Mus musculus: one gene and its partner. The protein of the gene in region 1 binds, or shares a complex with, the protein of each later gene. Links are inferred from orthologs where the notes say so. Each region holds a gene or a part of one and is shown in the gene's direction. Other genes may lie near its edges.

Region 1 (5,507 bases):
CAACGTTTTTGCAGCTAAGGAGGTACTGGGACCTAGGTAAAATATTAAGGCCTAGATAAAATGTCAAGGCCTAGGTAGCCTACTTGGCTAGCCTACCATTATAAGGAAACTTTCTCATATGTTTCTGCTGTTACTAGGAAACTTTCTAATGCCAAAACTGATTACATATTCTGTTATGCCCTGTGCCCTTGGAAACCAATCATGATAGAAGTTAGTAGAACTTTTTTGAATAGTTACCCATAATAAGCTTTGACCTGAACCAACCACCCAGCAGCACTTACTAGCCATATATAAATTTTTATGGTATTTGTCTGTATAAGCTGTCCCTGGGATGGACTCCAACATAAGAGAGAAATCTCTGGCCTGGAGAGATGGCTCAGTGGTTAAGAGCTCTTCTAGAGGTCCTGAGTTCAATTCCCAGCAACCACATGGTGGCTCACAACCATCTGTAATAGGATTTGATGCCCTCTTCTGGTGTGTCTTCAGACAGCTCAAGTTTATATAAATAAAATAAATAGATGAGAGAGAGAACTGCACCAATATAAGAAACCCTTTGGAATAAGACTTCCATTTTGAGTAATGACTGAGTAAAGTTTAAGTTCCCAAGACCTCCCTGGAAACTGGCATCCTACTTGGCAGAAAGACATGTGCGTGGGTAACTGACAACCTGGTTGGCACATTGAGACATGAATGTTCAACAAGGAAAGTCTCTTGCCACCGTTGAATACCCAACCAATGGGAGCAGGATACGTGTAAGGCAAAACCATGTTCCCAGGTAAACCCCCCATTTCTGAATCCTGATTGGTGATGTGACTTGGCCCAGATGTTTGTGGATTTGAGGCTTAAAAACCCTGCAGGATCTTAAGTCAGGGTCACAGTTCAGGTCCTGAATCTGGACTGTGGCCCTGGTTAACCAGTCCTGACATGTATGCTCAATAAAGTGCCTCTCTCTGACTGAGACTGGGGCTCGTGTGGTCTGTGAGGGGACTCCTGGACCACAGCAGGAGGCTGGCTGCCAAGCCTGAAGGCCTGAGATCAATCCCAAGACCCACATAGTGGAAGGAGAGACTGTCTGCAAAGTGTCCCCTGACCTCCATGTGTGCTATGTATGCACAAGCATGCTGTCTTCAAATAATACAAACGCACAACAAGGTTGTAGGATAAACCCTAGCATGCTACACAGCAAAGGAGGCACAGGAGACCAGGTGGCCTCTTATTCAAAGAAAGGACGTCTTAGCACAGGACAAAAGGGTTTGGTCTGAGTCTGTTTCTTCTTCAACAAACCAGAATCCTGGTATCCTCTAAACGATGTGGGGCGAGGGCATTCTTGATACACGTGCTTTTCAGCCAAGCTTGTTGGCACACAATTATAGCCCCAGCTATTTGTGAATTCCTTGCGTTTAGGAGTTCAGGGGCAAGCCTGGGGAACAAAGCAAGACACCTTTAGTTTTGGAGACAGAGTCGCATGGAGCGCAGGCTAGTCTGGAATCCACGAGGTAGCTGAAAATGGCCTTTAACTCATAATTTTCCAGCTTCCACCTCCAGCACTGCGATTACTGATGGCTGAAAACTAATTCTCCGGGAAGAGGGAGAGAACGAATCAGTTCCGGGTGTGGCGATTTCATGTTCATATTCCCAGCACGGACGAGAGTAAGGTGGAAAGACAGCTATGAATTCAAGGCCACCCTGGGAATACTGCTCGTGAGCCTGTACTTTCAGCCTTTTGGAGTTGAGACAGGATTGTGAGGCTATCCTATCTATAGAGTGAGACACTCACGTCTAGCCCCATTACCCAAAGGGGGAAAAAAAAAGTTTAAAAAGTTCTTTGAAGCTTTTTTTTGGACCCCTTTTCCAGGTTGGATCTCAGCGCTTTGCGGTGCGCGAGAGCCGCGTGTCCACCTTTGTCCGCAGGGAGGCGCTGTGCTCACCGCGGTCTGGCCGCTCTAGGCTGCGGCCGCGGCACCGGAAGCCTCTTCTACTCCGGCTTCCTGTCTTTACCCGGGCTGGGAGCTGCGTGGAGTTAAGACTTCGAGATGCCGACTGGCGACTTTGAGTATGCGTGGGGTGGCGATGGGGTCGCCGGGGAGGCCGCGTGGGGGCTGCTCTGGGGTGCGTGGGGGTCTGGGCGGCGCGGGGGGCCGGGACCCGCTCACCAATCTCCTGTCCCCGCAGCTCGAAGCCCAGCTGGGCCGACCAGGTGGAGGAGGAGGGAGAGGACGGTGAGTGCCGAGCGTGGCCGCGCCCGCTGCCTGTTCCCGGGGCCCACGCTCCGGCTAGGGCCGCGCGTGGCCAGCCCCACCCTCGCCCTGCGCTGTGCCCCCGGTGCAACCCGCAAACACACAACACACACACACACACACTCTCTCTCTGACTTGAAAGTTCCCGTCCCGTGGCTCACTCTACCTTCCTCCCCGAATTCCCTCTGGCAGACAAATGTGTCACCAGCGAGCTCCTGAAAGGAATCCCTCTGCCCACCGGGGACACCAGTCCAGAGCCCGAGTTACTGCCCGGAGGTGAGCAGTGTCCATCCCTGCCTGCTTCCTCTTCCCTTCCGACTCTCAAGCCTACTTTCCAGCCAGTCCCCATTACCCGGGAATCAGTTTCTGTCATCTTCCTCCAGACCCGCTGCCACCTCCCAAGGAAGTCATCAATGGGAACATAAAGACAGTGACTGAGTACAAGATAGAGGAAGATGGGAAGAAATTCAAGGTGAGGTCGAAGTGGACACATAGGGCCAGTGCCTTTGTGTTCAGGGGTTCAGGTGGAGGGGTGTCAGTGGCTGAGACAGGGCCTGAGGCTCTGGAAGCACTCCTCTCTTATTCATCTTCAGATTGTCAGAACCTTCAGGATTGAGACCCGGAAGGCATCAAAGGCTGTGGCAAGGAGGAAGGTGAGATTCTACCTCATTTGGGGGGTAGGGTGTTCTCTGGGGCTGATCCTGAGGAGTTGGGAAGCCCCTTTTTGTTGATGTGGAGTAAACGTTTAGTGTTAGGCCTTGAAAGGTTAGGGCCCAGGAGTAGATGAAGTTAGATGCTTTATTTATTCATTTACTTTTGTTTTTTTATTGTTCTCCTTTTGTGTGCGGATGTGCGCAGCATCATCCCCCCCAGCACATGGCACAGCATACTTTTGGTTTGAGCTGGTCTCTCGGTATTAGGAACTAGACTAGGCTTGCTGGGCACTAACAGCCCCAGGGACCCTGCTGTCCCCACTTCCTGTCTGGCCTGCACCGGGAATGCAAGTTTGCCTCTGTGCACAGTGTTTGACTGTGGGTGCTCGGGGTCAGAGTCTGACGGACACTTGTGTGACAGACACTGTACTGAGACATACCCAGCCCTCTTGGGTTTTATTGTTTGTAGTTTGTTTTTCCAGACAGGGTTTCTCTGTGTAGCCCTAGCTGTTCTGAACTCACTCTGTGGTCTAGGCTGACCTTGAACTCATAGATCCACATGCATTAGGATTAAAGGCATTGCCACCATTTGCTGGCTTGTTATTTTTGAGAGGCTCTAGCTCTGGTCTTCATTCTAAATGCTTCTGCCTCAGCCTCCTGCATCCTGACCTCCATTCTCTCTCCTTTGACCTGTCTACATGAAGAAGCAAGCAGCCTCTACTTACCTAGGGGGGAGGGCTTGTAGAGGAGGGACAGCGACGCTTGAGAGCAAGGTCCCGTGCCAGCGTTCAGCAAGACACAGCTTCTCAGGCTCCAGGCCAGCTTAGGGAGGCAGGGAGCTTTGTGGCCCCTGTTTTACAGGCAGGAAATGAGTTTCAGGTTTAACTGGCTCGGTTCCTAAGGTCTGGGTGATTCCTCCTTTGTCCCTGGTGGGAGGCTGGCCATGGAGCAGCCCAGAAACTGCCAGCGGCACAGTGGAGCCCTGTACTCAACCTTTTTTTTTTTTTTTTTTCTCAAGACAGGGTTTCTCTGTATAGCCCTAGCTGTCCTGGAACTCACTCTGTAGACCAGGCTGGCCTCGAACTCAGAAATCTGCCTGCCTCTGCCTCCCTCCCAAGGGCTGGGATTAAAAGCGTGCGCCACCATGCCCAGCATGTACTTAACCTTTTATATGAGTGTTAGAAAGTGTACTGCACGTTTTCACACGAGCTACCTTACCAGCACCTACCTCAGATAACTCAGGCTGGTTTTGAGCTTGCGTGTCTTGAGGTCCTCCTGTTTGCACCTGGCAAGTGTTGGGGTGACAGTTGTGTGCCACTGTGTTTAGCTTAGGGAATGGGGATTGTCACCATTACCACAGGGAAGGCCTCTAGAGAGACTAGATCTTCGGATTCAAGGCCCCGGAATGGTTGTCTGTCTGGGGTACCCACTGCAGGATCCTTCCTGTCTTTTCCTCACTTCTCCCCATTGTTTTCTGGGAGCCCAGAATTGGAAGAAGTTTGGCAACTCGGAGTTTGACCCACCGGGGCCCAATGTGGCCACTACCACAGTCAGTGATGACGTCTCTATGACATTCATCACTAGCAAAGAGGTGAGCTGGGTGAAGCTGGAGCCTGAGAAATGCAGTGGGGGTGGTGTGGGCCGGGCCCAGCAGCCTCCTCTGAGCCTTCCCTCCCTATACCCCACCAGGACCTAAACTGTCAGGAGGAGGAGGACCCAATGAACAAGCTTAAGGGCCAGAAGATTGTGTCCTGCCGCATTTGCAAGGGCGACCATTGGACCACCCGTTGCCCCTACAAGGACACACTAGGACCCATGCAGAAGGAGCTGGCTGAGCAGCTCGGCCTGTCTACTGGGGAGAAGGAGAAACTGCCAGGAGGTGTGGACGTGGGGACCTGGGAGGGTCTCAGCTGTTCTGTGGTAGTGTGCTCTTCTCTTCCCTGCATTACCTGTGGCCAAGTTTGAGTGGCTTCGGGCATGGTCATCCTGATGTGTGACTGATAGCTTACTCTAACTTGGGTATGCGTGCGTGCATGCGTGCGTGTACATATATACTCTGTGTGTGTGTGTGTGTATGTGTGTGTGTGTGTGTGTACATATATACGCAGTGTGTGTGTGTGTGTGTATACACGTATATACTCAGGCAACATCCACCATGTATGTGCTGGGCTCAGTGTGGCCATAATCTAATGTGTCCTGTGGGGGTGGCTGCCTCTTGTGACTTGTATGGAACTTTGCTTCTCACTGTCATGGATGAGTGGCCTAGGGACATCCTCACTGTTGTGTGCCTGTAGTCGGGATGCTGCCGGGCTGGTGGTGTCCAGCGCTGGGGCTCTGCAGTGCTGGCTTTGTTGTGTCTGCCCTGTGGCTTGTTCACTTTGCTCGTGACACTAGCAGAGACTTTGAAGAGTGGTAGCTTCCTAGATGTGATGTTTGGGTCACCAAAGGATGACTGGGTGTCTGTACCTGGGGGCTGGGGCAGAATAATCCTTCCGTCTGCTGCTTTCCAGAGCTGGAGCCCGTGCAGGCCGCCCAGAGCAAGACAGGGAAGTATGTGCCCCCCAGCCTCCGGGACGGGGCCAGCCGCCGTGGGGAGTCCATGCAGCCAAACCGCAGA
Region 2 (3,898 bases), on another chromosome or scaffold:
GCTTACTGGTTCTGAGGTTCAGTCCATTATCATCAAGGTGGGAAGCATGGCAGCATCCAGGCGGGCATGGCACTGGAGAAGGAGCTGAGAGTTCCATGTCTTATTCAAGGGAACCCAGAAGAAGACTGGGCTTCGTCCCACCCGGCTAGAAGGAGGGTCTCAAAGCCCACTCCCACAGTGGCACACCTAGTCCAACAAGGCCATACCTCCTGTTAGCACCACTCTCTGGGCCAAGCATATTCAAACCACCACATAGTTCAGAAAATGAAACCATAACGCTAGCCAACAAAAGACAACACTAGCAGAGACATGTTACAAGGGGTAGGGGGTGAGGAACTTAAAGGAAGGTACCAGGACATCAAGTGAGAATAGTTGGGACCTATGGCTCAGTGAGATCCAGTAACTAATGTGAGAGTTAGGGGTGTGAGAGGAAGTCTGGTAAGAAAACCTCTGGGGGTGGAATGACCCTTTCACAGAAGATCATCAGAAAACACAAGTATTTCAATTACATTTATAACAGTAGCAAAATTGTAGTTATGAATTATCAATGAAAATAATTTTATGGTTAAGGGTTACCACAACATGATGGTCACAGCATTAAAAGATTAAAAACTACTACTCTAGAAAGTACAGAGTATTGTGGGGAAGGGCTGGTAGGGGGAAATAGCAGGCAAAGGAGACCTTGCAAAGGAAGGCTTAATCGTGTCTGGTGATGGAAAGGGGGGGGGGGTCTCTGAGTTTGAGTTCTGGAAAATACTAGTTCTGTTGATGCTGGACTTGGGGCTAATGTGTTGGCTTCGTGTTTGCTGACTTTGAGGCCATCTCCAAAAGCAGGACCTGGAGAAACAGCTTAGTTATAGACCACTTGCCTATCGTGCATAAAGCCCTGAATTCACTCTCCAGCACCACAGGAGCCAGGTGTGGTGATGCGTACCTGTGATCCTAGCATGGGGCTGTTGGAGACAGGAGGCTCAGGAGTTCTTGTTCCTCTTTAGTTAGAAAGGGCCCTGACCCTGGGGGATTGGGTAGTCAGGGGCCATGGGCTTTGAGTTCTCAGGATTATGTAACGCCTGGCTCTTCTCTCTTTACCAGGAACTGTTGACAAGCACTCGGTAGAAGTCACCAACTGCTTTTCGGTGCCACACAATGAGTCAGAAGATGAAGTGAGTTGAGAGGATTTAAGCAGCCCCTGTATAGTTCACAGCCATTCAACCCCTAACTTCCCCGAAGGCCCCACTGTGCTGTGTCTGTAGCCAGAGCTGCAGCTGAAGCTCTGCTTTCCCTGTCCACATTGGGCCTCCTCAGGTGGTGGGGGTTGGTAATTTTTCCTATTCAGCATATACTTGTAGCTTCTTAACCTCCTCTCCTGCCTTCCCCCTTAGGTGGCTGTTGACATGGAATTTGCTAAGAATATGTATGAATTACATAAAAAAGTCTCCCCAAATGAGCTCATCCTAGGCTGGTAAGATGGCGCGGGTGGGAGTGGATAGAGGGTCTCATTGTCATCAGACTAGATCTCGTCTCCCCTTTCAGACATAGAACATATAAAGCATGTGACCTCGAGAGCCTATGAGATTTTGATGATAACTTGATCCTAGAAAGTCAAGAATATTTATTTTCAATTACAACTTTGTTATGCAGTTTTTCATATTGTTAATTACTGCTAAAATGGGTGTGAGAACCCCGGCAACACCCGCTGCGCTGTTGCATTTGGTATTGGTGTCAGCTGCCCTGCGTCTATGATTGCTGTTGCAGGTATGCCACAGGCCATGACATCACAGAACACTCAGTGCTGATCCATGAGTACTACAGCAGGGAGGCCCCGAACCCCATTCACCTCACGGTGGACACAGGTCTCCAGCATGGGCGCATGAGCATCAAGGCCTATGTCAGGTGAGCCCTGGGCACGCTCAGGTCTAATCCTGCCGCTTAGTTTCTCTTCAGGAACTTTATTCCTCTTTTAACAGCTGTCATTAGAGAAGTTTCTAAAGTGAAGTCGGACCCCATAACTCACACTCACTCACTGGTCCTGCTTACACTGGAGTATTTGTTGTTTGGAACCATTCCAAATGGAAGTGCCTTTAGCATCATCTTCTGGAACAGTTAACCCACACATGATGTGTTTATCAGGTTCTTCTGAGCCTGTATTTGTTGCTTTTCTGAATTATCATTAGTTTTTCATTGTCTTGGTTTGCGTTCTGTTTTGTTTTGTTTTGTTTTGTTTTGTTTTTGGAGACAGGGTTTCTCTGTATAGCCCAGACTGACCTGGAACTCACTCAGTAGACCAGGCTGGCCTCGGACCAGGCTCCGCCTCCCAAGTGCTGGGATTAAAAGCATGCACCACCACTGCACAGCTTGGTTTGCTCTCTATTACTGTGATAAAACACAGACCAACACCAACTTGGGAAGGAGAAGGCTTATGTCAGCCTACAGATCCCAGTCTACATTGGGGGAAGTCAGGGCGGGAGCCTGGAGCAGAACCATGGTGATGCTGCACGTACCTCTGTGCTCCCCTGGCTTGCTCAGACTGCTTTCTAATTCCACTTAGGACCACCTACCCAGGGGTGGTACACCCACATCGGTCAAGAAAATGCCTCACAGACTTGCCTGTAGGCCAATCCAACAGAGGAATCGCCTAGCTTATGTCAAGCTACTACAAACCCTAGTTAGTGCATTCATTATTCCTAGGACTAAGCACAGTATTTATAGACTAGAAGATGCTAGCATTGTTGGGAACACATCTTTTAAGCTAGAAATAAGTATACTTTTGAACAGTAACATAGCAGTGTTGATACATAAAACTTGCTGCCAGCTACACCACCATTTGTCAGGGCTTGCTGGGGAAGGCTTTAGCATCTGAGGAAAGAAGAGCTTATTACTATAACTTGAGCCTATTACTGTGCACTGGGCCCTTACCTTCATGTCCTTGCTAGTCTCTACAAATTCATTTTCTTCAAAATCCAGATGAAAATGCAGGGTTGAAATAAGCACAATTTTATTGAGTTACTTCTAGCGCCCAATCTAGTGGTTTGGGACATGAATTAGTTTGGCGTTTTCATGGTAATGAAAAGCGCAGGCCCGTGTGGTGGCGCACACCTTTGATCCCAGCACTTGGGAGGCAGAGGCAGGTGGATTTCTGAGTTCGAGGCCACCCTGGTCTACAGCGTGAGTTCCAGGACAACCAAGGCTACACAGAGAAACCCTGTCTCGAAAAAGACAAAAAAAAAGAAAGAAAAGCAAAAGCACAGGCCCAGAAAAGAATGTTCTGGTGTGTCTGGTTTCCCTGGAAATGGGAGTGTCTGGCCAGCCAGGAGCATCCAGAGTCCTGTCATCCTCACTGGCATTATGGTGTGTGAAGTCATCCTGTACCTTTCCAAGCCAAAGAGGAAAAGGAAAGTTTGCTCACAAGATAACTCTGGGACAGTCCCGGCCTTCTCAAGAGGAAGACACTAACTTTGACTGCTTTCCCAGCCTAGTCTACACAAGGAAACTGCTCCCAGGGGCGATGGTCGATTAATTTTCTCCTTCTTCCCCAGCACTTTAATGGGTGTCCCTGGGAGGACCATGGGAGTGATGTTCACACCTCTCACAGTGAAGTACGCGTATTATGACACTGAACGCATTGGAGGTGAGTTTCCTTCCCTGCTGTACACACTTGGAGACCCTAGGATTATTCAAGAGAGGAGCTGTTTCTGACAAAGATGGAAGCCCTGGGTAGCTTAAAGAACACACTCAAGGTTCATGCTGACTGAAAGTTGAAGGTTTGTTCAGGGTGGGGAATTGTCAGTGTCCCGGGCCATATAGTCATCCATATGAGGCCAGAACCAATAGTTAGCAAGCAGGTAGTCAGTCAGGGAGAGCAGGGATTTTGGGGAACTGACTGCTTCCAGAAGGCATG

Evidence for each region.
Region 2: Eif3g (region 1) and Eif3f share a complex: the UniProt entries of both Homo sapiens proteins name them as parts of the eukaryotic translation initiation factor 3 (eIF-3) complex. The link is inferred for Mus musculus from reciprocal best matches to the Homo sapiens genes EIF3G and EIF3F.

What each region holds. Positions count from the first base shown.
Region 1 is NC_000075.6:20,895,090-20,900,596, reverse strand, and holds the start of Eif3g (eukaryotic translation initiation factor 3 subunit G), read left to right. Parts: upstream 1-2,006; 5' UTR 2,007-2,033; coding exon 2,034-2,053; intron 2,054-2,172; coding exon 2,173-2,219; intron 2,220-2,429; coding exon 2,430-2,513; intron 2,514-2,620; coding exon 2,621-2,709; intron 2,710-2,830; coding exon 2,831-2,890; intron 2,891-4,376; coding exon 4,377-4,481; intron 4,482-4,579; coding exon 4,580-4,769; intron 4,770-5,400; coding exon 5,401-5,507. UniProt on the Homo sapiens protein: RNA-binding component of the eukaryotic translation initiation factor 3 (eIF-3) complex, which is required for several steps in the initiation of protein synthesis.
Region 2 is NC_000073.6:108,936,654-108,940,551, forward strand, and holds part of Eif3f (eukaryotic translation initiation factor 3 subunit F), read left to right. Parts: intron 1-1,092; coding exon 1,093-1,163; intron 1,164-1,382; coding exon 1,383-1,462; intron 1,463-1,755; coding exon 1,756-1,893; intron 1,894-3,536; coding exon 3,537-3,628; intron 3,629-3,898. UniProt on the Homo sapiens protein: Component of the eukaryotic translation initiation factor 3 (eIF-3) complex, which is required for several steps in the initiation of protein synthesis.